4 linked regions of the Notamacropus eugenii genome follow. The protein of the gene in region 4 purifies or fractionates together with the protein of the main gene of each other region. This does not show direct contact. Links are inferred from orthologs where the notes say so. Each region holds a gene or a part of one and is shown on either strand. Other genes may lie near its edges.

Region 1 (6,944 bases), on a different chromosome or scaffold from region 4:
CACACACACACACAAATACAGGGGAGAGTGAGAGAATCCAAATCCAAGTAAACAAAAGCTCTTTGGGAGGTCCTCAATAATTATTAAGACTATAAAGGGGTCCTGAGACCAAAATTTTTTGAGAATTGCTGTGCTGCATGTTATAAAGTTCAATGGAAAATGAGTTATTATAAGAGCACATTTCCTAGATCAGTGTTCAGGCTAAGATAGATTTCCTCTTGGATGCTACCAGAGAGAACCTCGCTAACCCATGAGCCCAGACCTTGAAGACAGTCTTATCCTGAAGTTTCTTGAGCCCACAATGTGGGGAAACAGTTTGGAGGAGCTGGGACCTGAGCCTGCAGAGGGCACAAGTTCTCTTTCCCTAGAATTTAAAAACAAGAGGCTGATATTTATTTGAACCTTTTGATCAGTGTTTGTTTTTCCACCCCTCCTTCCCTTCCTCTTTGGCATCTACCTGCCTAAAGTTTGTAAATTCGTGGGAAGATGCCGTTCTGTTTATACTGACTTCAAAGAATTTTATTTTCTGGGATTCTCCCCACTGAAGCTGAAGGGGTTGTTTATAATTTGGACACCGCCACAATTCAATTTAATTTAACAAACACTGAGAAATGGTGTCACCTCTTGGTAGGCAGGAAACAAAGGCCAGCAGGATTTCAGAACTGGAGTCATTTAAAAATAACAGTATTTTTTTTTTTTTATTAAAAGTTTACTCATCAATAAACATAAATATTTCCAATACAGAGAATAAAAAAATGCATCTCATTCTCTTTTTTGCAAAACTGAAGGACCATGGGTGTGGAATACTGCATGTACAACCAGACATAGTGGATATATGGACTGGTTTGGATGAAATACATTTTTTTCCTCATTCATTTTTAATCTTTGTTACAAGGGACAGAAGGGAGATATTTGGAAATAAAGACAAATGATAATAATAAAAATAAGATAGAGAGAGATGGAGGAAAAGAGAGACAGAGAGAGGGAGACAGAGAGACAGAGAGAGATACACACACACAGACACACAGAGACAGAAAAGGACAGAGACACAGAGAGAGACAGAGAGGGAGGCGTTTGTAGAGTGAGCAGCTTAGAATCACCAAAACTCTGCTTCCACTGACATCGTTGCAGTCATGGTGTAGATTGTTTTCCTGGTTCTGCTGACTTCATACAGCATCAGTTCCCACACATCTTTCCATGTTTCCCTAAATTCCTCACTTTCATTGTATTCATGTGACATAATTTGTTTATCTGTTACCTCATTGAAAAAGCCTAGTATTCTCCAAGTAAGGCTGGTTAGCATCACAAAATCCCAAAGGACAGATCAGAGAAGTGAGACATCATCCTCATCAAATGCTTTTATTAAGCACCTACTGTTTGCCTGGCACTGAGCTAACACTGGGAATCCAAGGAAGGGCAAAAACATAGGTCCCCCCGCCCCCGAAATTCACAGTCTAATGAGAATAATATGCAAAGAGCTATGTACAAATGAGATGTGTACAGTGTCTAAATAGAACATAGCAATTGTAATGGGGAAAGACCCCTTGTAGAAGATGGGATTGTGTTTAGTCTCGAAGGAAGCCTGGCATCGAGGAAGGGGGGCATTTCAAGCTATCCAATTGGGGATAGATAGTAAAAAGTCCCAAAGAGGGGAGATGTATATGGAGAAAGCCACCTGTAGCATATGTGGGTGGCAGTAAAGTGTAAGAAGACTGGGAAGATTAGAAGAGGCCAGATTTTAATGGGCTTTAAAAACCAAACAGAAGATTTTGTATTCAATGGTGGAAGTAATAGGGAACCACTGGCTTCCTATTTGTTGAGGAGAGGGCATGACTTGGTCAGATTTAAACACTAGGAAGATGATTTTGGTGGCTGAATGGAGGACATACTATAGTGGGGAGAGATCTGATGAAGGGAGACCCAGTCAGAGGCTCTTGTCTAGGCATGAGGTGATGAGGGCCTGCCTCAGGGTGGGGGCTATGTGATAGAAATGGAGAAAAGGGGACATCTATGAGAGATGTGGGAACAGAAACAAAAAGATGTGGTAACAAATCGGACATGTGGGGTGAGTGTGGGAGCTGCATGGAGGATGAGTCCAAGATTGGGAGCCTAGGTGACTAGGAGGGTGGTGTGGGTACAATTAGCAGGAAATTGTGAAGAGGAGGGAGTTTGAGGGAGATATAATGGCTTCTGTTTTGGATAGGTTGAGTGTGAGATGTCTACAAGACATGTAGTTGAAGGCAGTTGATGATGGAAGCTGGGTGGTCCGGAGAGAGAGACGGATAAATAAATCCAAGAATCATCCACACAGAGATGATAATTGAATTCATGGGAGCTGAGGGACTCGCTAAAATGACATAGACAGAAAGAAGAGGGCCCAAGATAGAGCCTTGAGGGACACCTACCAATAGTGGGCACCACCTCCATGAAGATCCAGGCAAGGGGACTGAAAAGAAGCTGTCAGACAAGTGGGAGGAGAACCAGGAAAGAAGAGTGTCTTAAAAACCCAGAAAGAAGATAGCACCAAGAAGAGGGTGCTCCAAAGTGTCAGAGGCTCCAAAAAGTTACAGAATGAAGAAGACTGAGATTAGAAATGCCTGATGCCTTTGGAGAGGGAAAGTTGAACGATAAGGTTGGAAGGGCCTTTAAAGGTCGTTCAGTCCAACTGCTTCATTTTACAGATGAGGAAACTGAGGTACAAAGTGGTTAAGTCAGGAGCTGAAATGTCCTTTGTGAATAACATGGATTGCCAGCTGGGACTAGAGACCAGGTGTCCAGACTCCTATATAGGATGACCTTAGACAAGTCACTTAATCTCTCTAGGTGAGATTTAAATCTTTGTATTTGAGGAATTGATTCCCATGCCTCCCTCCCCTCCCCCTTCTAAACAGTTTGCTTTTACTCCCAGGCAAGAATGTAAACTTGAGGACTGAAGCGGTTCAGCTTCGGGTTTTCTTATCTCTAGCACCCAGCTTAGAATTTGGTATTTAGAAGATGCTTAATAAAGCTTCTAGAATGAAGGAAGGATCCCTAGCGCCCAGCCCCATACGTAGTAAGGTTAGAGATTGGAGAGGTGATTTCTTTTAAATTAGGGAACTCCCTCTACAAATGCAGGCTATTTTTAGAGCGTGGCCCGCTGCACTGAGAGGTGAAGGAGCTAGCCCAGAGTCACGCAGACACAGTGTCAGAGGCAGGCCTTCTCTAACCAACACACCACACTGCCTCTCACATCGAAGGCAATGAAAGCTTGTTGGACCCATAAATGGAGTGAATAGGCAGAATTGACACACAGGCGCTGGCACACAGTAGGAGAATAAATGAAGTGAACTGACAGTACTTGGCACAGGGCCTGGCACACAGTAGGAGAATAAATGAAGTGAACTGACAGTACTTGGCACAGGGCCTGGCACACAGTACGTACGTGTTTGTTGAATGAATAAATGAAGGAGAAAACTGCATTTAACAAAGGCAGAGATCGGGGTTAAGAAGTGCAGTGGGCTTACATTCATGCCTCTAAGATTTCGGATCTCCTGAGTAGCAAAGTCTGACTCAGACCAGCTCACCTGGCGGCCTCGCCTCCCCGTTTGGTTCCGTTTTTGGCTTGGCACTGGCATCCCTAAAGCCTGGCACACAGGAGGCGTTCAGTACGTGCTGGATGGAGGGCCCGATTGGTCTCCGCCGGGGCAGGGCCATCCACCACGCCAGCAGGTAGCCAGCTAGCGGGGTGCCCAGCAGGCGGAGGGTCGGGATCCCGGGTTCGGCCGCGGCAGGCAGCAGGGAGCCGGCCCGGCCGGCAGAGGGACACCGCGAGCCAGCGCAGCCAAGGGCCGGAGGGGCGGAGAGGAGGAGGGGCCGAGCTCAGCCGCCGGGGAGGGCCGGCGCAGGCGCGGGGCCAGGCAGGGCGCACGGCCGGGGCTGCGGGGCAGCAGAGAGCGCCGAGAGCGGAGCGGAGCGGAGCCCCGAGCCGAGCCGAGCCGAGCCGAGCCTGAGCAGCCGCAGCAGCCCCAGCATCCGCCGCCGAGATGCCCGTGACCGAGAAGGACCTGGCCGAGGACGCGCCGTGGAAGAAGATCCAGCAGAACACGTTCACGCGCTGGTGCAACGAGCACCTCAAGTGCGTCAACAAGCGCATCGGGAACCTGCAGACGGACCTGAGCGACGGGCTGCGGCTGATCGCGCTGCTCGAGGTGCTGAGCCAGAAGCGCATGTACCGCAAGTTCCACCAGCGGCCTACCTTCCGCCAGATGCAGCTGGAGAACGTGTCCGTGGCGCTCGAGTTCCTGGAGCTGGAGAGCATCAAGCTGGTGTCCATCGGTCAGTGCCCGGGGCCGGCCGCCCCCCACTCCTGGCCCCCCATCCCCTGCCCCCCTCTTCTGCCCCGCATCCCCTGCCCCCCCTCTCCTGCCCCCATCCCCTGCTCCTCTCCTTCTCCCCATCCCTTTCACCTCTCCTCCCACCTTTCACCCGAAATCCCTTCCCTTTCCCCTCTTCCACCCCCATTCCTTTCTCCTCTCCTCCCCCACATCCCCTGTCTCTCCTCCTCTTCTACCCCCCGGCCCCCATCCCCTTCCTCTCTCTTTTCCTCCCCCTGCTCCGTGTGGATTTCGCGCTCCTGGGTGAGGGGAGCTATTACCCAGTGTGTGTGCAGGAATTCCCCCGGTGCTCCTCTTCTGAATTTGCTTTTGAGAGTGAGTCTAGCCTTTGATCCCCCTTAGCTCCCTTGGGGCCGAGGGGCTGGCCTTTACCTCCGTACTGAGTTTTATTTTTTCCCCGGGGCGGGGGGCGTGTAACATGTACCCTTTTCCTGAGCTCACTTTTTTTGGGGGGTGGGGGGGGAATCCAGCTAGTGCTCCTTCCCGGAGCTGGAGGGAGAAGGGAAGATCTCCGTTCCATTTCTTAGTTTCCTTACCTGGAACTAGAGGGGCTGAGAGCGGAGAGGGGGCGTTTATTGAGTGGATCGAGGGTGCTGGGTGGTGGGTGAGGGAAGGAAGCTGTTGGGCTGTCCAACTGGAGTGTGGTGAGGGGCATAGCCACGGGACTATTTCCACAGTCTGGTTACCGTCAGCGGCTGGAAAGGGACCTCCCTGAGGGGTACTCCCCACAGGGGAGTCTGTGGCCCTCTGTACCTGCACCTGCTGGGGCAGGTTAACTGGCCCAGACTAGGCTTGTGCTTGTGCTCACACCCATTTCCCTCGGGAATAGCCCAGCTGGACTGACTCCCGGCTTGGGTACAATTGCTCTGCCTAGGAGAAAGGCCGTCCTCTTGTTTAGGGGCAGGTAGCATGGTGCCAGAGAGCAGCTGGGGTCCAATTCCAGCCCTTGCTGACTTTCTGATCTAAGCCAATCCAAGGCGTTAAAGCTTCAGTTTCCTTCTCTGTGAAACCGAAGCCCCTTATATTTCTCAGGTGAGGGCTGGGGGTGGGAGTGGGGATCCACTGGCCCCCTGAGGGTGGGGAGGGAAACCAGAGGATCTGTCTATGCTTTGGAACCAGACGGGAATCTTGTCCTGGGGCTTAGCTGAGCTCACCTGGGCCTTCTGCTCCATCTGGAATCACCCAGGATGAGCCTGAAAGTCCCCTGCCTGTCCTGAGGAAAGTGGAGAGAAATGCCTTCAGTCATTTTAAAGTATTTCTTCTGGAATTGTGTTTTGCTTTAAGATTGGTTGGAAGGAGAGGTGTGGATCTCTGTTATTCCCGGTCCTCTCCCTTTTAAACAACTCCCAAAACAACTCCAAGGAAAAAAAAGGAACAAGAAACCAAGAGAGCCTGGAGTTGAAAATTCTGGAAGCTGGGTTGGGCATTAAAAAAAATTGTTGAATTTCAGGAATGTTATTTCCCAGGATCATTCTGTGGAAGAAGGATCCACCCTTAGTAACATCTGACGTTAAGTGCTAGGTGCCCACTACGTCTCATTTTGGCCATAGCCTTTGGTATGCCAAGAGTGGCCAACCATGGATATTTTGAATACTGCTCTTGAACTCAACAGATGAGAATCCTTGTCTCTACTGTTAGATGTTAGTCAGTTACAGGACCTTTGGACAAGCTGGATCTGTTTTCTCCATCTGTAAAATGGGATTAATAATCCTTTGGCACTATCCTACTGCCGGGTTTCTTGAGAATTTGTAAGCTGAAAGTACTGTAAAGTGTGAATAGGTTTTACTAAAACCCTATATATACTGTTTTCACTATTAGAACTGTGTATGTCTCTCTCTCTCTGCTTAGAGAAACTGTCCTAGAGAGTGGGCTCTCCTGCCCATTTGTGGCCAATAGGTGGTGCAGTAGATAGGGTGCTGATCCTGGAGGTAGAAAGATCTGAGCTGAGTATAAATCCTGCCCTAGACACTTCCTAGCCGTGTGTCCCTGGGCAAGTCACTTAATCTCTTTCAGGCCAGCGCTTAGCACACAGCTCCTGGCACATCATAGGGGTTTAATAAATGCCACTTGACTCAATGACTCAAGTTTCCTCAGCTGTAAAATGAAGATAAACTATCACTGACTTGTAGGGCTGTTTTGAGGATCAGTGTATTAAGTGCTCTGCAGACTTTAAAGCAGGGCATCAAAGATAATAAATGGTAGCACTTAATGTTGTCTTTGTTACCACCTCGTATCCTAGCCCTGGTTTGGTGCTCAGTTCTGCTTCTGTTTTCATCCATAGCTCCACGAGCAAAAGGACTGGCATGGGAGGTATAGGATTATGGATTTCGAGCCATAAGGGCACAAAGTTTGGCCCACCTTTATTTCACATTTGAGGAAAACAGCCACGAGAGGTAGTGAGTGGTCAAGTGGTGCAGATTGGAGTAGGTTCTCTGTAGTTTTACCCTGTATACTCCTTCCACAGAGTAGGGACTTACTAACTTTTTGTTGATTAAGTAACAAAAGTAGCAGATTTATTTCCAGTTGTCTGTCTACTGAAGGTTTAAAATATAATGTAACATTCATAGCAAA
Region 2 (7,161 bases), about 14 Mb from region 4:
CTTGACAATCAGACACTAGCTGTGTGACCCTGAGCAAGTCACTTAACCCTGTTTGCCTTAGTTTCCTCATATGTAAAATGAGAGCTGGAGAATGAAATGGCAAACCACTCAATATCTTTGCCAAGAGATCACCAAATGGGATCACAGAGTCAGACATGGTTGAATAACCACAGTTATCTTAGGTGCTGTAAGGGGCATTTGTACTTACTGTTTTTCAGTAAAATGATCTACTAGATGGAGAACCATTTTAGAACACACATAGTTCTTGTGATTTGCTTTTTATCTCTGGATTGACCCATGTACCAAAGTAGTACAGTAGGCAGTCATGGCCTAACTTGTGAGCCAGGGATGAAAGTTTGCCACTAAGACTAAACAAGAATATATTCTGGAGGAAAACAGTGATTAGGAAACTATGGGCATTTTAAGAGGTCCTTTCCTGGCAGATGAGAATGGTTTTACAAGAGGGGAAAAAATAAAAAGGTCCTTCTGATATAAATTGTATACATTCCAGCCCTCTAAGATGAGGCATTCTGGTTAGTGTAATTTGGTCAAAAATAGACATCATTACTTGCAGTTCTAATTTCACTCCATTTACAGTACATTTTCAAAGCAATCTAGCGGGGACACCAAACCACTGAAATGCACTCATTGAGCAAGCTCCAATCACTGTAACATTCTAGACTAAGAAGCCACTGGGGGAGGGGCATCCTATTCACAGCCCCTTCCTCCATTTTAGGAAAGGGACTGGTTTCACAGACCATGAGGCAGCAAGAATCTGCATCTGAAAAGACCTGTTTCAGTACACAGAATAAAAGCTTAAAAGGGGGGGAAAGGAACTGCCAAAAAGGGATCCATCATCTTTTTCCTGCCTCTATTTAAATTTAGTCACTTGAACTTCTCAGGGCCTTAGTTTCCTTATCTGTAAAGTGAGGGACATGGCTACATTTATGAGCTATATTTAGAAAAAAAGATCACACCCCTTTCCTACTTCCCCCCAAAGATGGGCACTTGCTACTGATAAACCAGCACAATTACCCAAACTGTTGTGTAATTTATTCCTTTCCATTGAGTCCCTTTCAAATCTCTCTGAACGATTACTCTGAGAAATTAGGACCACCTTAAGGAATTACTCCATTCCAAATCCTACAGGGATTACAAGAAATCTCTCCGAGAGACACATGTTCATTTAAAGTCCACCTCCCCGAGAGAAATAAATCGTCGTGCGCCTTGTAGATAAAATACCGGGGATTTGTTTCTCCCCCAAACTGCAAGGGAAAATTTGTTCACTCCCGCAAGCATCTTATCTACTTACCCACATCCCCGCAAAGCCACCCCACTAAATCTCTACCCAGGCCCCCTCCATCTGGGTGACCTTGAGTGAGGAGGCACAGCATTGCTACCGGCCGCAATTTGCTACTTTCTAAAAAAAAAGGGGGGGGGGTGGAGCCCAAATAACCTCTAAAGTCCTCTCCTCGAGGCAGAAAGTTGTCCGACTCAGGACTCAAGGGCCCAAAGGCTGCAGCCCTTCGGCTCGGGCAGTGGGAGCCACAGCGGTCCACGGGGAGGGTGATGGGGGCCGGCTCGGGCGACCCCGGAGGGGCCGAGACCCCCTTCCACCCCTGCCCCCCGGCTGCTGAGAACCCTAGCAGGGGTGACGGCCCAGGTCTGCAGGGTCCCCTTTACCTGGATGGGGCTTCCTCCGCTGAGCTCAGAGAACACAGGCCGAGGGGTCTACCTACACCAAGAGGGAGCGTTAAATGGGCGAGCTCACCCCAGGGAACCCCTCCTTCTCCTCCAGTGGCTCCTCCTCCTTTTCCTCCTCGCTCCCCTAGCGGTGCCACCTCCTCCCTCCAGACTTCCGGTCTAGGCTGGAGGGGGTGGGATCAAGCACCGCCTCCCCCTTCTCCTATTTGTCTTATCCCCTAGCGCCACCGGCTGCGTGTTCCCTCCTCCATTGGCGGAGCGCGCCGTCCCTCTCGCCGCTGGCCTCCTGATTGGGTAGGAGAGCCCACGGGCAGGGCGGGGCTGCGGTAGCAACGGGAGCCGCTTCCAGCCTTGTCCCTCCCACAGAGATAGGGCGGGGAAAGGGGGTTTCTTGGGGGGAGGGGTCGGCCTTCGATCTCACGCACTCTTCGTCCCGCACGATCTCAGTCCCCCGGCTTATTCTTTAAAATGTCCACCAGCTCTCCAGAGACAGTGGCCCTCTTCCTCCCTCTTACTTCTCCCCCCACCCATGCTCCCCCGCTTCTAGTTGGTGCTGTCTGCGCCTGCGCAGCCGCCAAACCGTTAGGCCAGCTCGCTCTCGCCCTGGGCTATTTAAATTTCTACAATCTCCCCATCCCCCCAAAAAACCCCCAAACTCAGTTCCCTCATTCTCTGGGGGGAGGTCGACCCACTTTGTCCTCCAAGCGAGGGCCAGGAAAGGGACTGACTGACAGGAGTATTACTGCAGCTCGTGCGGGGCCTTCTTGGGTGGAATTACTGCTGGTCCTTTAGAACGCACCAGTGATTCATTGTGGCAATGGAAAAACCCCGGCCCCTTAGAACCCCGCCTCCCGAGAAGCCGTTGGATGGGGTGCGCAGGCGCAGCAGCTACGGGCGAGAGCTGCAGTGCTGCGTGACTGAACGAACGTAGCACTGACCGCGCTCGCGTTCCCGAGTCAGGGGGGAGGGGCGGGAGAAAAGGAAAGAGGCTCGCGCGTGCGCAGCGGCAAGGACGAAGGAAGGAGATGCCCACTCCTCGCTGGCCCGCCCCCTGCAGGGCGTAGAGCAGTTCTAAGAGCTCTTCTCTCTTCTCCGCCACCCCACCCCTACTCCGGGCTGACCCTGGAATTCTTTGAGTGCCATCGGCTCATGACAAGTTCTGACTTGAGCTACATCTCGGTGTCTTTCCAAATCCAACCTGTATCCGCGCAGGGTTCTCCTCTTCCACCAATAGATGGTCACCCGTCCTTGCCGGGAAGGGCGCTTGCACGTGGTCTCCCGCTTTAGAGGGTGAGCCCCCTGAGGGCAAGGTCTTTGTGGGCCCCCCCCCCCCCCGCACCTTGCCTGGCACGTGGTCAAACACGTGGGGTTTAATAAGCGTTTACTGACTGACGGACTGCCGTTCTGCCTTTTCACAGCTCTTATTGTCTGTTTTCTTCCAGGAAACCTGGACTTGCCTTCTTGTAGCTCGTTGCTGCTTGGCTCCCATGGGGCCAAGGAAGTGAATCTGCACCCATTTTCAAATGCTGTCTCTTCCCTCCCCACCTCCACTCTTCTGCGCTGAACACCCAAGTTTTTTCAAACTGGTCCTCTGAGCTCAAGGAATTTCAAGACCCTGACAGTACCCCTTGGCACAATATCCAGATTTTCTCTAGGGGTAGGTATGGGACAGGTAGTTTCACAAGTATAGAGAACTCTGCGGTGAGAAAACTGCCATCTTCCAGCGAAGGTTGGCACTTGATAGAGAGTTGCCCAGCTAGAGCCTGGAGAAGTTAAGTGACTTGTCCTGAGTCACACAGCTAGTAAGAGTCAAGTGTTGGGGGTCAAATTTGAACTCAGGTCCAGGATTGTTATTCTATTTACTTTGCCACTTGCTGGCCCTCCATTTTTAACTACCGTAAAATGAAGAAAAAAAATGGAGAGAATTCAACAACTCAACTATCAGTACTCTTCCCCTCTAGGGGAGATAAAGAGGAAGCCACTCTTTGCCATAACTGTCCTCCTTGTTAAGAAGTATATGTCAGAGAGTCAACTTGAACCCAGGTCTCCTGGACTTGGAGGCTAGCTCTATCTGCTGCCATCTCTTATCAACATCCTTCCTTAAAAGGAGGTGCCCAGAAATGAATATACTACTTCAGTAGTAGTCTGAACAAGGCAGAGGACAGCAGGACTGGCTAACCTGTCGATCTAACCCTAAATACTTGTAATACCTTATGCTCAGCAAAGGAGAGGTCTATAAAAGTAAAAAGCAGCACCATCTCCCTCTGGCTCTTAAATGGAAGAGTGAGGATGTAACATGTCCACATAAGTAAGTATGGTTGTTGGCCTTTGTTCTTGAAGAGGACCATGATATCAGAGAGGTGATGTCATGTCATGCAAGTGAACTGGATTTAAGTGAGGGAGGGCTCGGCAAAATCACCAGCCTCACTTTTTCCTCTAGAGTCATCTGGGTCCAGTGGCAAGATATAGATTAGGATGACTAGAGATGGCCACCATGGTATGAGGTACAAGGAAATGGATAGAGGAAAGGAGACAAGTCTCCTAGACTATAAGATCCTTGAGGATCATAGATTTAGAGTTGGAAAGGACCTTAAAGGTCATCTAACCCAATACCCTCATTTTATAGAGGAGGAAACAGGTTTAGAGAGCTTTAGTAACTTGCTCTGGGTCACACAGAGGCAGGAAGTAATAGAAGGGACACGCAAGTCTCTGACTCCAGAGGACTCCTCATGTTCTTTCTAATAAGTGGCACCATACCACTTATTAGGTGAGCAAGCATAAGCACTTTATTACTAATGGGAAAAAAGGTATTTCAAGGAGCAGAAGGGGAATAGGGGGGTTGACAGTGTCAGGTACCAGAGCAGTCAAGAAAAGGTTGTCATCATTTATACTTTCTCAAAGAGGACTGTGACATTATGGAGGTGATGCCCCGATATGCAAGTGAATCAGATTTGAGACAGGGCTGTGCAAAGTCACTGGCCTCACTTTCTGCCCTGGAGCCATCTGGATCCAGTGGCCAGATATCAGTCAGGACAACTAGAGATGGTGCAGGATATAGTGGGGGACATTGGCCTTTTTAAGCTAAGGTCTTTATCAGGTCTGTTTCACTGAGGCAACACACATTCAGTGATTAAGGCTATGGTAAGAAATGAGGCAGAAAGCTAAGAAAAAGATCAAGAAAGCGGGGTTTGTCTTCAAGACAGTTTCAGTCAAATGGAGGTGAACAAAGGATCATAGATTCAGAGTTAGAAGGGACCTAAGTGGCCATGAAGTTCAATGCCCCCATTTTGCAGATGAGGAGACTGAAGGCCTGAAAGGTTTAGTGACTTAAGCAGCATTACACAGATAGAGAAGAGTCTGAGGGCTTCCTGACCACAGGTTCCGAACTCTATTTCAGCACAGTGCCTCTCAAAAGGGAAGGGGATTAAGAAAGAAATTACTTAATCTAGAAGGATTGGGTAGGGTAGAGGAACTCTCTCCCCTATCTCTAATGACTGAGATCAAAGCCATCAGTAAAATGTACTTTTAAAAAGGAGAAGCCTTGTGGAAATGAATGTTGAAAACTAAAAATAAATAAATAAATTTTTAAAAAAGCAAAGAAAAAAAGAAGTAAGAAAACTAGGAGCTGGTGTGGACACTCAGGAGTCAATGACAAGGATGGTAGGGAGGGAACCTCTTTGAAACTTTTCTCATGCCCAATATCAGACCCCACAGGGCTCTGCAGATAGTCAGGATAATAGCTCATATATCTATAATTGTGTGAGGTTTACAGAGTTCCCCTCCTTCCCAAACACAATGCCCTCCGTTAAACGATGCTGGTATTGTCCCACTTTATAAGTCAGAAACTGAGGCTCAAGGGCTAAATGACTCACCCAGGGTCACATAGTTTGGAGGTGAGTCAAATCTGGTCCTCTACCTCTCAATCCATTGCTTGGGGATCAACCATGCCTCAATTTAGGTACTTATATGTTTGCTGCTTTTGTCAAATGCATTGACCTTTTAATCTGACTTTGAGGGTCAGTCTGAGGTAGTGGAAAAAATGAGTTGGTTCTCTGTAGTTGGCATATGCCACTTTGCTACTAACTTTCTGTTAACAATTTCCTCTTTCTGTGACTCAGTTTGCTGTTCTCAGTCATTGGTGTGTCAGACTAGATGTTCTCAAGTCCCTCCCAACCTTAAAACTCTATGGATGAGTCTGCGATTTTGCAGTTTAGGGCCAGCCACGGTTTTCTATTCCTAAGACTCCCATGAAATCAATCCTCCGTGAAGATTAATGAACTTTGTAAAAGGTAAGACCTGGAAATGGAATAATTTCCCTGTAGAATGTGCACTTCCAAGCCCATGGGCACATTGAGATGAAGGCTTAAAAGGTGAACAATATCCCCTGTCCATCTGGCAAATAAAATAATCCAGCCTGAGATGCAGGACCCCAGAAAGATTGGAGAATTAAGACCAAATAAATGGTTTTTACATTTAGCAAAGGCCAGAAAGGTTATGCAAGCTGATTTTTTAAAAAGCAGAATTTGTGGTTGTAGCAGCAAGATGCTGAAATGTCTGCCCTTGTTAAAAAATAACATCCCAGCCCCATGACTCAGCAAGTCATCTTTGCAGCTGCCTGGATGCCTTGTTCACTCAGGCTTCAGGAAACTGAAGACTTATTATTTCTCCTGTGCTCAAAGCAAGCCCTAGGGGCCCATGCTGAGGTGATTTTAAAATTCCTTTCTCCTTTTATAGTGCCTCCAGAGAGAGAGACAGAGAGAGAGAGAGAGAGACAGAGAGAGACAGAGACAGAGAGAGAGAGACAGAGACAGAGACAGAGTGACAGAGAGACAGAGAGAGAGAGACAGAGACAGAGACAGAGTGACAGAGAGACAGAGAGGCGGGGTGGTGGGGTGAGGTGGTAGAGACATCAAGGTAAGATACAAGGAATCCTACCCTGTCAGAGCCAGTTAATTCCAGCAGGAAACAATACAAAATACAATGCGCTCTAGACAGCTACAGTTGCAAGTTTCTTAGATACTTATACCACACTCTGAGCCATAACAAAGTTTCCAATCACACTCTCACTCCACGGTCCTCCGTTGTTAAAGTGTTAAAGATTAGAGAAGTCCTCAAATCTCGTCTGCAATCTAGAGGGTGCTGCATATTCTTCTTACTAAACCCCTCTGCATCTCATCTCAGTCAGTGCCTGAGAGTGGGACACACCCCACCCTGAAGCACACGCTGGATTCATCCAAGACTCAAAGGGGGGGGGAAAACTCACAAGATCAGATTAAAGGCTGAATGGTCTTTTGGCAGTAATTAAATGGAATTCCTCTTCTCCAGTACAAAAGCATTTTGGATAATGTGTTTTATTCTGGGGCCTATGAATTTGTTGTTGTTGTTGTTGTTGTTTTAACATTTTGATAATTGTATTTCAATCTAATTGGGGTCCTTTGCAATACAATGTATTTTGTT
Region 3 (7,943 bases), on a different chromosome or scaffold from region 4:
CCTTGGATGGATTCATGACTCATGTGGGCCCTCCCTCAGGGTATATGCCATCTTCCCCTGCTGGACCCTTGGTCACCATCTCTCAGTCTTTGTAAATCTCCAGCAGGTGGGTGCTTCCTCTGGAGCGCTGGGTGCCTGGGCAGCCCCGAGCTTGTTACAGGGCCCGAGGATCTCAGACATAGAACTGGAAGCGACTTTAGACCCACGAAGGCCCACTCCTCAATTGTGGCTCAGCCCACTGCCTTTCTTGGGTCCCCTGCGATGTTCTTGGCAACGCTTCTCACACAGAAATTGTCGTTAGTATTTGGATCACCTGCCACTCATAAAATGGCGGGGGGGGGGCGGGGAGGGGGGAGCCGGCACGACAATATTACCATCAGATCAATAATTCTTATCCTGCAGGAGAAGGCATAATGGGGCCTGGCCCCAGGGACCTTGACTGTGGACACAGTAGTTTCTCCTAAACCTTCTGGGGTCATCAGGGACAATTTGAAATATTCGTTTCCTGCCCCCCCCCCCCAATTCTCCTCCCTACTCACACCCACTCTAGTCAGGGGTGGGGGTTGGTACAGCCTCCCCGACCAAGTGATCCAATCTGCACGCTTCTTCCCCACTGCCCTCCCCAGCCCAGTAGTAGGTGGTAGGGTGACTGTGCCTTTGTTTTCCTAAGGAAATCCTTTAGAGCTGAGCTGCCTTTTTCTCAAAAACAAAACAAAATAATTTTTTGAAAACCACAGTTTTAAGATCTCTTCTTCCTTGGAGATATTAGGATCAGAAAGCCAGAGTCCTGAGGTCTTCTAGACCAAGTCCAGCATTTTACAGATGAGGGAACTGAGGCCCAAAACAGGGGACTTATGTGCCCAGGTCACTCAGGGAAAGGGTCAGAAGTGGAATTGGAACCCAAGTCCTCCGTTTCCAAAAGCCTATGCTTGCTCTCCACTGCACCACACTGCCTCTACATAGTAGAATGTTTCAGCCCAATCAAGAGGTCTTAGAGATCATTTAGTCCAATCTCCTCAGTTTACATAAGGCAACTTGATGTTGGGAAAAATGTAATTGACTTCAAAGAGAGCTTTGAACTTAGAGTAGAGCTAGATACTGGGACCAAGAGAGAGCAAGTGACCTACTCAGGGTCCCACAGTATGGTTGTGGTATTAGTGACAAAGCTGGAACTCATGCATTAGTCTCCTGACTCCCAATTGAGGGCTCTCTCCTATAAAATATATTATAATCATCATGTGATAGAGACTGGCCCTGTAATTTCATTGGAGAGCTTCACCTGGGGAACTCCCAGGTGAAGAAAGTCTCTCCACCAATGCAGAACACCACCTTCTTTAAAATATATAGTCTTGGTTTCCTAGAGATTAAATAACTTGCTCAGGGTCACACAGCCAGGATGTGTTAGAGGGAAGATATGAATCCAGATCTTCCTGGTCCCTAGGCCAGCTCTCTACCCAATCCTCCAAACTGCTAATAATTGATAATAATAGTAATAGTAGACACTGTTAACATTGATTCTTTATGAACTCTTGAGTCTCACAGCAACCCTAGGTAAGCAGTGCTACTAGTATCCCATTTTTGAGTTGAAGAAACTGAGGCTCAGATAGGCTGTTTACTACTGTGTAACCTTAGGAAAGTCGTGTAACCCTCCTGAGTCTATTCCAAACATGCCCAGCACCTTCTCTGCCCAGAACACTTTTCATCTTAGAGCAGCCCAGTCTCTAAAAGGAGATAAGGATGTGAAAAGGACTCAGAAGGATGAAGCAGGGCAGGGAGATACATCAGGAGGTTTAAGATGAGAGACCAAGCCCTGGGCTAGGTGGGGAATGGGGACCACCAAGTTCTGCCATGGGAGTTGTTTGCTGCCTGCTCAGTCCTTGTATTCTTGTCTTGAGTGCTACCCTCCCACCCCCAGGGCCTGATAGAGTAGGAAAAGCAAATCTAGGCTTATAGGATCAGAGAATTTAGAGCTGGGAAGTCATCACATCAGTCAGATCAGCTTAGAGTTTAACCTAGTCTAAACTGTTCATTGCACTGGTGAGGGGAAGTGATTTACCCAGGAGCATACAGTTAGTAAATGACAGAGCTGAAATACCTACCCACTTCTCCCTCCTGGTCCAACACCCTTGCTGCTGCTACCGGAGCTTTCTTCCCAATTCTGTCATTGTCACAGTGTGACCTTGGGCAAGTTCCTTTCTTCCTCTTGACCTCAGTTTCTTCCTCTGTAAAATGAGAGGTTGGAGCAGATGACTCTAAGCTGGTTGGACTGATGACTTCATGGTATATGGACAGACTGTTCCATGGCAGGCAGATACAAAGGGTAGCTGGCCTTGGAGATTCATGTCCCTCCAAGTTCACTCCTCAGAGTTGAGCATGACCCCAGTGCTTGTTCCCTATGGCTTTACTTCCTCAAGGTTCTAGTTCTGAGCTGATCCCCTTGGCTGCCTGAGATATCCTTCCTCTTTTTAGTCATAGTTTTCTCTTTAATGGCCCTTCTCCCTTTCTCTAAATGTCCTTTTTACTCTCTCCCTCTTGGGCTGCAGCCCACGTCTAGAACCTGGCTACACTTTGTGTCTTATTCTTGATGGCAGAGAGCAGTGAGTACTGACCAAGGAGAATTCTCAAGGAAGAACTCACCTACTATAACCAGGGATTTAGGAAGTGATTGGAACAAATCTGTCTTTGGTTAAGATATCACTGATTCAAGGAGGTTGTGGGGAGAGGGCGTGAGTATGCAGGGATGGGACGGATGGGAGAAAGGAGAGACAGATTCAGGGATACAGACTCTTGTTTTAAATCCCAGTTTCACCACTGACAGCTGTGTGACCTTCCCCTGGTTTCCAGACCTTTCTAAGGGTGGGGACAGTTCTAAAGTACAAGGGGAGGGGATGATGAAAGGAGATTTAACCTGTCAAGTTGTTTGGAGCCCACACCCACAGAACACAGCTGGCATTTGTCAAGAGTTATAAAAGACTTTGAGATTCTAACTCCTCAAAGCTTCCTCCTCCCAATGAGGAGAGACTCCCAGACCCCACCCAAGGACTAGGTGAACAGGGAAGATTGACATTCCTTGTGGTTTCTGATCTCACCTATTTTTCAGAAAACATGGTTGGGTGGGGCTTGGGAGGACCAAGAGTCAAGCTGCATAGAAGCAGATCAGAATTCCTCAGCCCTCCATCCCTACTATTTCCCATCCCTAGAGGATTGGGGAAAAGAGAAAGCAGGAGAAGAGGAGGTTGCCCAATGGAAACATGAAGGCATCCACAAACATATTCATCCATTGTTTAAAGATTCCAGGGCTCACCTCTTCTACCCCTTCAACTTAACCGGGTCTGATGCTGAGCCCAGCCCTGCCCCTGGCTGGAGTAACCTGTTGGTGGGAGGAGAGAGTCAGTGGGAACAATTCAGATAGAAGAATCCTGCTTGGATTATTTTGTTCTATCTCTTTGGATTAGCCTTGTTTTCCTAAATTGGAAACTGTGGGGCAGCGGGGAGATGAGGGCAGGGTGAGCTGTGTATATTTTCAACTCTTCGGCTCTCTTTCTTCCAGATTGCTCAAAGCACTTTATAGGTGTGATCTCACCAGCCTTGACCCAGCCCCCTTGGGAACGGACCTGGTGTGGGTTTCAATCATCTGTCTCATCTCTGAGCTTGGAGCCTTTTACGGGCTTGAGCTCACTCATTCTATTTCTCCAGTTCTCCTTGACCTAGGGGTGGGATGGGGGTGGGGAGACACTGATGAGTAATAGAAACAAAGATTTAGATCTCACATAGAGCTTAGAGGTCACCAGATCATAGAATCGTAACTAGCTGGAGGGGACTTCTGAGGTCATTTAGTTCAAACCCCTCATTTTAGATATGAGGAAACTGAGACCCCAAAGAGTTAGGGGGTGGGGCAGACTGGAGCCCTTCACAGCAGCTTAGCTTAAGTAATGAAAGTGACTTCAGAGGCTGTCTGTCTGTTTTACAAATGAGGAAACTGAGGTCTGAGGCGGTGAATGACTTGCCCAGGGTTACACAGGTATTGTTTCAGAGGTGAGATCTGAACATCAGGTTTTAAAGAGTTCTTTCTATAGTGTCCACAGAGGACAAATTAAGGTTTTGAAAGACAGAAGACTTTGTGCTACCCAGCCTGGAAGATGAAGAGGGTGATGTATCCTCAGTGTCTCTTTGATAGAGTCCCAGTCCCTGCCCCACCTCTTCAAGCTATTTTATACTGGGATGTTTGCTATGCTTCACAAATAACTGCCCCAAGAATAGATCTTGGGGGTCCCCAGTTTCCCAACCTCCCTGTGAAGTGGGAGATCAACGTGTGTGTGCCTGTTGTTGGGAATTAGGGTTATATCACAGAGACAGCCCTAGCTAAGAGCTAACTCAAGCCTGGGCAAAGGACCCCCCTGGCGTGGGGGCTAAGGACAGGAGATGGACAGGGTCAGGACATGAGTGCAGAGGAGAGACAGGAGAGGAAATACCCTTGCAGAGAAAGGGAGGGGGAGGGGAGAATAGAAAAAAGCATTTGAGACCTAAAGCTGAGATTTTTCAAGATATTGTACCAATAAGACAGTCCTATGTCTTTCTCACTCCCCACCCCCAGCCCCTAGCTGTAGGGTCAGCTTTGTACTGCCCTCCTCCCCAAGTATCCTCTTGTCAGGGTGAATGCTTAGAGTTAGGAGTAACATGGTTCTGCTTTTGAAAATGTACAATAGATGACCTTAGGGGAGTAGCTGACTCCTAGAGTTTCAGCTTCCTCATCAGCAAAATGGGAGCAAGGGCTTTAAGGGCTCTTCCAGCTCTAAACTTCATGAACCTACAAGTTTGCTGGTTCAAGGCCCTGTTCTGTGTGTCCTTGGCAAAGTTGCAACCCTTTCTGGGCAATGGGGAGAGGCATCTCTTTGAGGGGGTGTCATAGATAGGGAGAGGGGCAATCCAGTCACACCTTGTTCCCTGGGACACCCAGCTAAAGTCGTACTCTCTGTACCCTGGGCAGTCTTGGCCCAAGTACATAAGAAAGGGGGGATGATGAAGGAGATTCTCTTCTCCACCCCCCATCCCCCTCGTCCCTCAGTCTCTCACCACCTTCCCCTCTTTCTTCCTTCATTTTCCAGAAAGATGAGTGAAGGTTCGAGGTCTGGGGCAGGGCTTGGGCTTGTTCTCCCTCCCTCTTTTCCTTTTCTCTCTCCCTCCCCAAGGAATCTAAGGGGGTGGACGTTGTCCTAGCCCGGCCCCCCTGCTCCCGCCCCCCCAGGCTTTCTGCCCCAGTGTAATTACCATTAATAGAGTCTTGAGACAGTCTTCTAAAAATAACTGGCTCTGGCTCTTTATAACCGGGGCCAGCCCAGCCTAGACACTCAGTCCCAGAGCTCCAGGGGAGAGTTGTAGGTCCTGAGCATTACCCACCCAACACTAAGAATTCAGCATGACTGAGAGACGAGTTCCCTTCACCTTTCTGCGAAACCCCAGCTGGGACCCCTTCAGGGATTGGTACCCAGCCGGCAGCCGCCTCTTCGACCAGTCCTTTGGACTGCCCCGCCTTCCAGAAGACTGGTATCAATGGCCCAGCCACACCAGTTGGCCAGGCTATGTCCGGCTGCTGCCCAGCCCTGTGGCCGAGCAGGTTCCCGCTGCTGCTGCTGCTGGGCCCCTGGCACCCCCACCCGCTGCCGGCCAGGCCTTTAGCAGAGCACTCAGCAGGCAGCTGAGCCGAGGGATGTCAGAGATCCAGCAGACAGCTGACCGTTGGCGAGTAACCCTGGATGTCAACCACTTTGCCCCTGAGGAGCTGACTGTGAAGACCAAGGATGGCGTGGTAGAAATCACTGGTGAGTAGACATCCCAGCCCCTTGTCCCATTTCTCCATATTGCCCCTGAACTTTATTGTCTACCCAGGGCAGCCCAGTTTGGGGGGGCAGGGGTAGGGGAATGTTAGTCCTGGCTATGGGCCAAGGGGAAGGGAGAGTTGGGGGGCAGAACAGGCATTCCTCCTGGGCCTTCAGAGGGAGAACATTGAACATGCTATCAGCTCCTGGCTGTCTTGGGATAGGGCAGGGCATGAGGGGCTGGATACCCCAGACCCTGGGCCAGGGGTTCTCATCCTGGGGCAGGAGGTGATGGGTTAATCAGAGGGCCTTAGTCAGAGGCTCCTCCTAGCATCCTTCCCTCATACCTTCATCCTGAAGAAAGTTGGCACACGCTGTTCTCTCTCCCAGCCTGGACTTGCAGAGAGAAAACATGTTTATTGCTGCTGCACATGAGGGAGGAAGGAACCTAGATGGGACTTGGCTCAGAAACCTTTCCCCCCAAATACCAGACCCAAACTCCACCCCTAGGCCCCCTACAGGGCTGAGCCCCATTCCTTTGGCAGATTGTCATTCTTTCCACGTTAAACATTAGTAGAAAAGTGCCTACTGTGTCCCAGACACCGTACTGAGAACTGGAGATACAAGGGAAGGTGAAACCCCACTTTGCCTCTGTGCTCAGCCATCTTCCTACCTTTGGAACCTTCTGATCCTGTCTGTCCAGAGCCATGGAGCCATTTAAGCTCCCATGCCCAACTCCCACCTCTCAGCCTTAGAGGCTGGGGCTGCTTCCAGCCCTTTACTGAGGACTTCAGAGAAAGCTTCATGCCCCTCTTCAAAAAGCTCCCTGGCACTTGGATGGCCACACCTACCTCTACCACTTCAGGACAGTGCACTAAATGTGGAGGTTTCCCATATCCCCTCTCCCACAAGAACTCACTCAAGAGAAGGGAAATCACAAAGGATTATGGAAAACCACTGCATCTTCAGTCAGAGGTTCAGAGTTCAAAAGTCTGGCTCTGCCATTTACTGTGTAATCTTGGAAAGAGTCATTTCCTTTCCCTGGGCTTCTATTTCCTCTTCTATTAAATAATGGTCTCTAATGGAATTCTGAGAGAACAGCTGGGGGGAGGGTGGATGGTATTAATGTGTGTCTCCCAGAGGCCCCCAGTCTTCATTTGTTTCTCTCCCATCTCCCCCAGGCAAACATGAGGAAAGACAAGATGAGCATGGATTCATCTCCAGATGTTTTACTAGGAAATACACGTGAGTATTGGGAGAGGGGGCTGGCCCTTGGAGAGAGGTCTCCAATTCTCAGTCATAGCCCCTTGTATTCCCTCCATGCCTACTTACCCCTCCTGTATCCACCCCCCCACCCCCCCACCTCACCCCCCACACAGACCCACTCCAGACAGACGGCAGGATCTGGTAGCAATTGTCTGGGTCTGAAGTCTCAGTGTGTGCCCAGTCCTTTGTTCTCCTGTACAAGCAGAAGGAAGTTTGCTTCTTGACCCAAGAATAGAAGGAAAGCCTGGTGGTGAACTTGGAGGTCAGAAAGACCTGAATTCAAATCTCACTTTTGCCACTTGTTAGCTAGATGACCCCCCCAAAATTATTTGACTTGAACCTTTGTTTCATGAACTTTAAGAAGAGGTGAGTGGGCTAGAATCCCTGAAAAGTCCCTTTTAGCTGTAAAACTATGATCTGTATGAGTATAAATGGATCCCTATGACAGGAATGGAGGTTTATTGCTAGAGATGGGCACACAGATGTCAAGATTGAGGGCTTATTGTTGGTGACTAGAGCAGTTCAGTGCTAGGGCTAAGGGCTCAGGGGCAACAACCACGCCCCTCCCCCCCAAAAAGCTCCATATATTAAGAGTCTAGAGAGGCAGCGTGTCCTACCTGACAGAGAGCAAACCTTGAAGCCAGAAAGAACCCCTCCTCCAACACATGCTGGCTATGTGACCCTGGGTAAATCACTTAATTTCTCAATGTATTAGGTAACTCTAAAACTTTAAGGTTCAGAGAAGGGGTCAGCCTAAATTATTAGGTGTTTCTTTACCCAGAAGTTCCTATATCAAGGAAATCCCAAATCCAGTCTCTAACCCTCTAAATGTCTATGATATACAAAACACTCAGTCAGGAC
Region 4 (7,017 bases):
TGGATTGGTCTTTCTCCACCATCATCAGCAGAATATCTCCAGGCCTCAACTCGTATTGGGAGAGGAGTTTCCCATTTAGCAGTAGCTCTCCGCCTTCTGTGGCCAGACGATGGGCATATGCTGGCTCTCCAGTCTGCAGAGCAATACGTTTCTTCAGCTCCATGACAGTGATGTGGCCTTCTGCCTTCACTAGGTATTCCACCCCAGTGATCATCTTCACCTTCAGATGCATGCCCTGCAAGAGAAACCAGGCCATGTTTGAGGCTCAAGCACTTCCAGCCCTGGGAGGGGGTAGCCCCCTTTTACAGAGGAGAAAACTGAAGCTTAGAGAAGGAGACCAGATTTGAAGTCAGATAACATGAATTTCCTGCCTTTGTCACTTACTACCTGGGGGATCTAAAGTGATGTAGGCAGATGGGTGGGGCAGTGGGTAGAGAAGCTAGAAGACCGAAGTTCAAATCCAGCCTCAGTGGCTTATTTAGCTGTGTGATCTTTTGGGGGGAAAGCTCTCAGCCTCAGTTTCTACATCTGTAACATGAGGGTCATAATAGCACCTACCTGCCAAGGATGTTACAAATGTAAAATGAAATGACCTTTGTAAAGTTCTTTGCAAACCTTGATGTACTCTGGAAGTGTGAACTATCTCTTGTCATTGAGCCCTTTTCCTCTTCAGGCTTCTGTCTTCTCTGTAAAATAGAACTAGAAGGTCTCCGGGCTCTCTCCCAACCCTAAACCTAAAACCCTGGGATCCCCTTGTCACATCCTGGGGAAAGTGGAAATGGGAATGGAGGCTGAGGCTTCTCTTTAAGTTACTCTGTCCTTATCAGGCTGCTCCCCAACCTGGAGGAGGAATTATAGGAACCTTAGATTTCAATCTTCCTCTGTCTCGGTATCTCTCTGTCTCTTTCTCTCTCTGTCTTTGTGTCTCTCTGTTTCTGTGTCTCTCTTTCTTTCTCTTTGTCTCTCTATCTCTGTCTCACACACACACAGCTACACACAGCCACATCTTGCCTTGGAGTTATCTGGCCCCTCTCCCTTCTGTGGGTTAGGGAGGAGCACAGTGGTAGGGGATGCTGGTGCATGGGACTCTGCACAGAAGAGTTCAGTGATAGCTCCTCAAAAGTGTCCTGGCTTTGGAGTGAGGGACCCAAGGTTCAGATCTCACTTCCCTCCCTATGTGACTTTGCTGAAATTACTTCAGGTCTCCTGGTGCCCCTTTCCTCATCTATAAAATAAAGGGCTTGGATAAGGTAGGCTCTAAGGTCTGGGACAGCATTCGATAGTAACCTGTAGTATCGTAACCGATCTTAACCTAGCCTAGCCCAGCCCAGGCTAGTAAGCTTAACCTACCCTGACCTGTTCTATCCTACTTTATCTAGGGCAGAGCAAGAGTGAGAGAGAGAGAGATGAGGGAGCAAAGGAAGTAGGGGAGAGAGAGAGAGGAGAGAGGGAGGGAGAAAAAGACAGAAAGAGAGAGGGGGGAGGAAAGGAAGTGGGGAGAGAGAAGGGAGGGGAGGAAGGAAGGTAGGGGAAGAGAGGAGAGACAGGGAGAGGAGGACGAAGGGAGGGAGGGAGAGGAAAAGAGAAAGGGGGGAAGAGAGAGGGAGGTAGAGAGAGAAGACAAAGACAGAGAGCGGGAGAGAAGGAAGGGGAAGGAAGGGAGAGAGAAGGGAGAGGGGATAGGACAGAGAGGGAGAAGAGAGAGAGAAGGAGAGAGGGGTAGAGGAGAGAGAAGGAGAGAAAGAGAGGAGAGAGAGGAGGGGGAAGAAGGAAGGGAGAAAGAGAAGGAGAGAGGGGGAGAAAAAGAAGGGAGTAGAGAGGGGAGAAAAAGAGAGAGAGGGAGAAAGGGGAGGGGAGGAGAGAGGGGGAGAAAGAGGGAGAGAGAGGAGGGTGAAGGGAGGGGAAGAGAGGAGAGAGAGAAAGAGAGAGGGGAAAGGAGAGGAAAAGGAGGGAGGGGAGAGAGGAGAGAGACAGAAAAGGAGAGAGGGGAGGAGGGGAGGAAGAAGGAGAGGGAGGAGGGGAAAGAAAGAGAGCAAAGAAGGGGAGAGAGAGAGACAGAGAGAGAAGAGGAAAGAGAAAATGACAGAAGCAATTGCAGTGGCTGTCTCTATACTTCTCAGGCAGCAGGTGCAGTGGAAAATGCTGGCTTTGGAGTCCAAAGTCTTGAGTTTTAATCCCACCCTTACTACTTAGTACTTTTGCGCTCTTATACAGGTAAGAATTTGTTTGAATCTGAGTTTCCTCTTCTGTAACATAAAGTGCTTGAAGCAGATAACCTCTAAAGTCCCTTCCAGCTTGAAATCTGGATAGGACCCTCAACACTACTTGTCTTGCATATAGACATGCATAGGTTCAAACCTGGAAGGGATGGCAGAGGTCACTGAGTCTAATTCCATTTTCCAGAAAAAGAAACTGAGGTGTGTGTACAAGATCCCTCAAACCATCAGTGTCCTCCCTCCTGCAAGTGGAAGGCTAGGTCAAGCATTCTTATCCTCATTTTATTGATGAGAAAGCCAAAGCTCGAATTCAGAGAAACCTAGGAGGACTTGGCCAAAGTGAGGCCTGAACAACTGAAATGGAGACTCAGATGGACTGCAGTGAACATTCTGGTCCCTGGAGAACAGGGAAGGGATGAATAACACCTCCGCTCAAGAGGAAGATCAGGGGCTGGGGAAGGAGGTGATAGACCTCTCTGTTGTTCCCTGTTAGAAGAAAGGAGGAACAAAGCAGGAAAGGATTAGGGAGGATAGAGGAGGAGGGAGATAACCAACTTCACAATGGGGAGAAAGGGGAAACTGAGACCCAGAGGGATGATGCACCGAGGGGCTCCCACCTTACCATGGCTGCAGGTCTGCTCAGGCTGGAGCTCGGGCTTTGGGGGCTGCCTCCTCTCTCCCTGCTCAGCCACTGATTCTGTGACAGCCTATGACTGTCCTTTTATCTGCCCGCACCTGATTAGCATAACACAAAGGGTGGACTCAGAGACTCGCAGCTCTGGAAATTGAAACTCTACTTTGCAAATGGAACATTTCTTCAGTTTCACTTTCCCTTCCGAGCTGTTTCCCTACTGGAGGCAGAAATAAAACTCAGCTGTAAGGATGGAAATCCCTAAAGTGATAAAGTCTGTCAGACTTCTCCCTGGGAAAGGGCTTCTGGTGGGGCTGTGAGGAGGAAGGAGAATTGACTGGAGCTGGCAAGGTGTGATCCCCACCCGTACCCCAGGAGCCCCCAGAATGAGTCAGGGCTTCCCCGTTTCTAAATGCAGAAACTCTCCTTTGAATCTCCTTCCCTGAACTGACCTCATCTTGTCTGCCCTTTGTGGTCCCTCTTATGGCATTTGGAGAAAGGGGAACTGGATTCAAATGCAATCCAGTTTGCTCTTCACTGCCTCAGTTTCCTCATCTGTAAAATGAAGAAGTTAACCCTCAGGGTTTCTTTCTGCTCTAAACCTATTACGAATGAATAAGGAAAAGAGCATTTATTAAGCTTTAACTGTTTACCAAGCCCCATGCCATCCTAACTTTGCAGTTTATTACATACGTGACTTGGGATGAGTCACCTAAATGAGGAAGACAGATTAAATGCCCTTTGAAGTAGCTTTCAACTTTTAATCTGTAAAACAGTAGTTCAAATACCAACTGTGCTCCTTGCTACCATGGCTATGACTATGTCTATGACTTCTAAATTATAATAATAATAATAGTTAATATTATGTGGTACTTACACTGTGCTAAATGCTTTACAAATATAATCTTGTTTGATTCTCCAAACAACCCTGGGAGCTAGGGGTTATTATTACCCTCATTTTACAAATGAAGAAACTGAGGCAAACAGAGATTAAGTGACTTGCCCAGGGTCACACAGCTAGGATGTGTCTGAAACTGGATTTTGAACTCAAGACTTCTGGGCTCCAGTCCCAGCACTCTAACCACAAAGCCACCTAACTACCCTCTAGGTGAGATACTATCTGTGAGACCTTAGGGAATTCACTTTGACCTTTCTGTTCCTCAGTTTCTTCAACTTTAAAATGAGGGCCCCTTCCAGAAACTAAAAGCTGGATTTGGAGTCTGAAGACCTGAGTTCAAATTTCACCCCTGCCACTTTCTACCTGCCTCACCTTGGGCAAGTCACAATTTCTCTGATCCCTGAGTTTCCTCATTTGCAAATCCAGGGCATTAGGTTAGTTGACCCCTATAACCCCTAATCTATGTCTAAATCTATGATGAATGATTAAACAGATGAAAAATCATTTCTCACTTGCCTACTCTGTTATTATCAGGATTTGGAGTTAGAAAACCCCAATTCAAATCCTAGCTTTATCACTTATCCCTGATGTGATCTCAGGTAGAGACTTCCATCTCTGGTCCTCAGTTTCTTCATCTGAAAAATAAGAATGTTCTAATGGTTTCTAAGGAATCTTCCAGGTGTGCATCTGTGACACTGTGGTCCCGGGAACCCAGGTACCAAACTCTCATTCTGTGAACATGACCCCAGAATGGCTGCTAGTGTTTCTGGAAGGTGGAAATTGGTTCCTATTTGCCCCCTTTCCTCTTCCTGCTCCCCACTCCCTCCCCCATAGCACACAGTTGATGGAATTACAGAAAATAAGGTGCAGAAAAGAGAGTATTTGTTTTTTTCAAAGGACCATATAAAAACCCTGTTATTCCTTTATGAAGCTGGGAACTGTAAGGGCAGCTTGGCCATTGACTACACTCCAGGAAGTTCAAGTCATGGAGCTACTTCAATGACTAGGAGCTCTGTGGTTCTAACAGAGAGGGAGCTGTCCAGGGTCACCAGGAAAAGAGGGTAGGTTAGGAAAAGGTATTTTTCTCTCTTCTAGACACCATCAGCTGGAACATCTTGTGGTAGAGCTATTTTAGGGGGGCAAGCCCTGCATAGAAGGGGCTCACCATCCCCACCACCCCAACCATCTGCCAATAGCTGGGCAGACAGACCAGCCAAGCTGAAGGGGCATAGCCTCCTAAAGGATAGCCAGGAGCCCAGGAGCTGGAAGTCAAGATTCCTGGGAATTGTAGCAGCTTTCATCTGACATACATCATCCACCTTTGTGGAGAAGGGCTCTTCCATCCCCACCACCTACTGCTGTCTCTGTTGTCCAGATAAGGCAGTAGTGGGCTCTCTTACCACTATCTCTGCTGTCAGCCCAGCCTCTACAGCCATCATTCAGGGAGAAAAGGGAGTGGGGATGAGACTCATCAGGTACTACAGCCAGAGGTCCTGAAGACCCAGGAAAGAAAGATCTTGAGGGCAGCTAGTTGGTGCAATGGCTAGAGTCAGAAAGGCCTGAGTATAAATTGGGCCTCAGGTACTTACTAGCTATATGACCCTGGGCAAGTCACTTAACCCCAATTGCCTCAAAAAAAAAAAGCCTTCATTCTATAGCTTCATAGTCCAGCAAAACAAATTCCTATATTAGCCATGTCTAAAAGTTTCTTTCTGCATCTTAAATTTATCACTTCTATAGCAGGAGATGAATAAGTCATCTCATCTTCATTCTTTTGGTTGGGGTTTCTTAGAGTTCTAGAATCTTTGAAGATGAATTTACTCGATAATGTTTTCACTGTATAAATTGTTGACCTACTTCTGCTCTCCTCACTCTGCATCAGTCCATAGAGGTCTTCCCAGCTTTCTCTGAAAGTTTCATTTTCAGTTTCCAGTTTAGGGCTCCCATGAAAAATGCTGCTAGAAATGTTTTTGTACAGAGAGAATCTCTTCCTCTTTGAATCTGAAGAGGGCAAGGTTACAGTCTTAGTAGTAGCTTAGCTAGGTCAAGGGTTCTGAACATTCTAGTAACTTTCTGGGCATCGTTCCAAATTGCTTTCCAGAATGGCTGAGCTGATTCCTACCTCCACCAACAGGGCAGTATTGTACATGTTTTCCCATAGCATCTCCAATATGTTATTTTCTTCTCTTGTCACATTGGCCAACATGAGAGGTATGAGGTAGAACCTCAAAGTTTCTTGAATTTAAATTTTCTCTAATTATTAATGATTTTGAGCATTTTTTCCACAGGGTTGATGATAGGTTATATTTCTTGAACTGAAAATGACCTCTTTGTACCTTTTGACCCTTTATCTATTCATGAATATCTTTTAGTCTTAAAAATTTGAATCAGTTCCTTGTATACGTTGGATATAGGACCTTTATTAGAGAAATTTGGTGCAAAGATTTTTTTCCCCAGTTACCTATTTGCCCTCTACTTTTTACTACATTGGACTAATCTGCAGGTAAACTTTTTAATTTTATATTTTTCATATTTTACATTAATTTTATATTTTTAATTTTAATATATAATCAAAATTGTTCATTTTTTTCTGTAATTCTCTCTATCACTGAGGGGGCATGAATTCTTCCACTATTCATAGATCTTAAAGGTACTTTCTTCATTGCCCCTTTGTGGGCCTCTTAGGGGTGCAGTGGTTAGAGCGCTGGTCTTGGAGTAGGAAAGATTCATCTTGGTGATTTCAAATATGACCTCATACACTTAATAGCTGTGTGGCTCTGAACAAGTCACTTAACCCTGTTTGCTTCATTTTCCTAGTCCTTGAAATGATCTGGAGAAGGAAATGACAAATCACTCCAGTATCTCTACCAAGGAAAATCCCAAATGGGGTCAGGAAGAAAAGATTAAACAACAGAAAATGATTAAACAACCATAGGGCCTCTTATGTCTAAGCCATATATTCATTTGGAGTTTATCTTAGTATTTGGTGAGAGGTGCTAGTCTCTTCCTTTTTTGGTTAAACCTCAAGGTGTCATCTAGGATACAACGCAAATATTATTAAATTTCCAGAAACCATCTCTCTTACCGGTACACGTTCCCACCACTCTCTTAGGAAAAATCTATTTTCCCTTTGAATTAAGTTCCCCTCTGTCAGTTTCTAACCACATACTGACAGATTTCCCCCAAAGTGATGGTAGATGACCTTTCATAACTGCTTCAAGTGATGTAGAAACTCAAATGAGCATTAACAGACATATGGTTTCCAAACGTAA

Evidence for each region.
Region 1: the proteins of ISG15 (region 4) and FLNB purify together in Homo sapiens (affinity purification with mass spectrometry; 3 studies listed by BioGRID and IntAct, with this or other methods). This does not show direct contact. The link is inferred for Notamacropus eugenii from reciprocal best matches to the Homo sapiens genes ISG15 and FLNB.
Region 2: the proteins of ISG15 (region 4) and ENO1 purify together in Homo sapiens (affinity purification with mass spectrometry; 4 studies listed by BioGRID, with this or other methods). This does not show direct contact. The link is inferred for Notamacropus eugenii from reciprocal best matches to the Homo sapiens genes ISG15 and ENO1.
Region 3: the proteins of ISG15 (region 4) and HSPB1 purify together in Homo sapiens (affinity purification with mass spectrometry; 3 studies listed by BioGRID, with this or other methods). This does not show direct contact. The link is inferred for Notamacropus eugenii from reciprocal best matches to the Homo sapiens genes ISG15 and HSPB1.

Annotation. Positions count from the first base shown.
Region 1 is NC_092874.1:467,304,095-467,311,038, reverse strand, and holds the start of FLNB (filamin-B), read left to right. Parts: upstream 1-3,924; 5' UTR 3,925-4,022; coding exon 4,023-4,314; intron 4,315-6,944. UniProt on the Homo sapiens protein: Connects cell membrane constituents to the actin cytoskeleton. May promote orthogonal branching of actin filaments and links actin filaments to membrane glycoproteins. Anchors various transmembrane proteins to the actin cytoskeleton.
Region 2 is NC_092876.1:47,730,773-47,737,933, forward strand, and holds the start of ENO1 (alpha-enolase), read right to left. Parts: upstream 3,021-7,161; 5' UTR 2,903-3,020; intron 2,686-2,902; exon of another isoform or gene 2,130-2,685; intron 1,958-2,129; exon of another isoform or gene 1,736-1,957; 5' UTR 1,684-1,735; intron 1-1,683. UniProt on the Homo sapiens protein: Glycolytic enzyme the catalyzes the conversion of 2-phosphoglycerate to phosphoenolpyruvate. In addition to glycolysis, involved in various processes such as growth control, hypoxia tolerance and allergic responses.
Region 3 is NC_092873.1:51,267,735-51,275,677, forward strand, and holds the start of HSPB1 (heat shock protein beta-1), read left to right. Parts: upstream 1-4,924; 5' UTR 4,925-5,416; coding exon 5,417-5,819; intron 5,820-6,163; exon of another isoform or gene 6,164-6,805; intron 6,806-6,997; coding exon 6,998-7,061; intron 7,062-7,943. UniProt on the Homo sapiens protein: Small heat shock protein which functions as a molecular chaperone probably maintaining denatured proteins in a folding-competent state. Plays a role in stress resistance and actin organization.
Region 4 is NC_092876.1:33,694,619-33,701,635, reverse strand, and holds the start of ISG15 (ubiquitin-like protein ISG15), read right to left. Parts: upstream 3,019-7,017; 5' UTR 2,842-3,018; coding exon 2,839-2,841; intron 236-2,838; coding exon 1-235.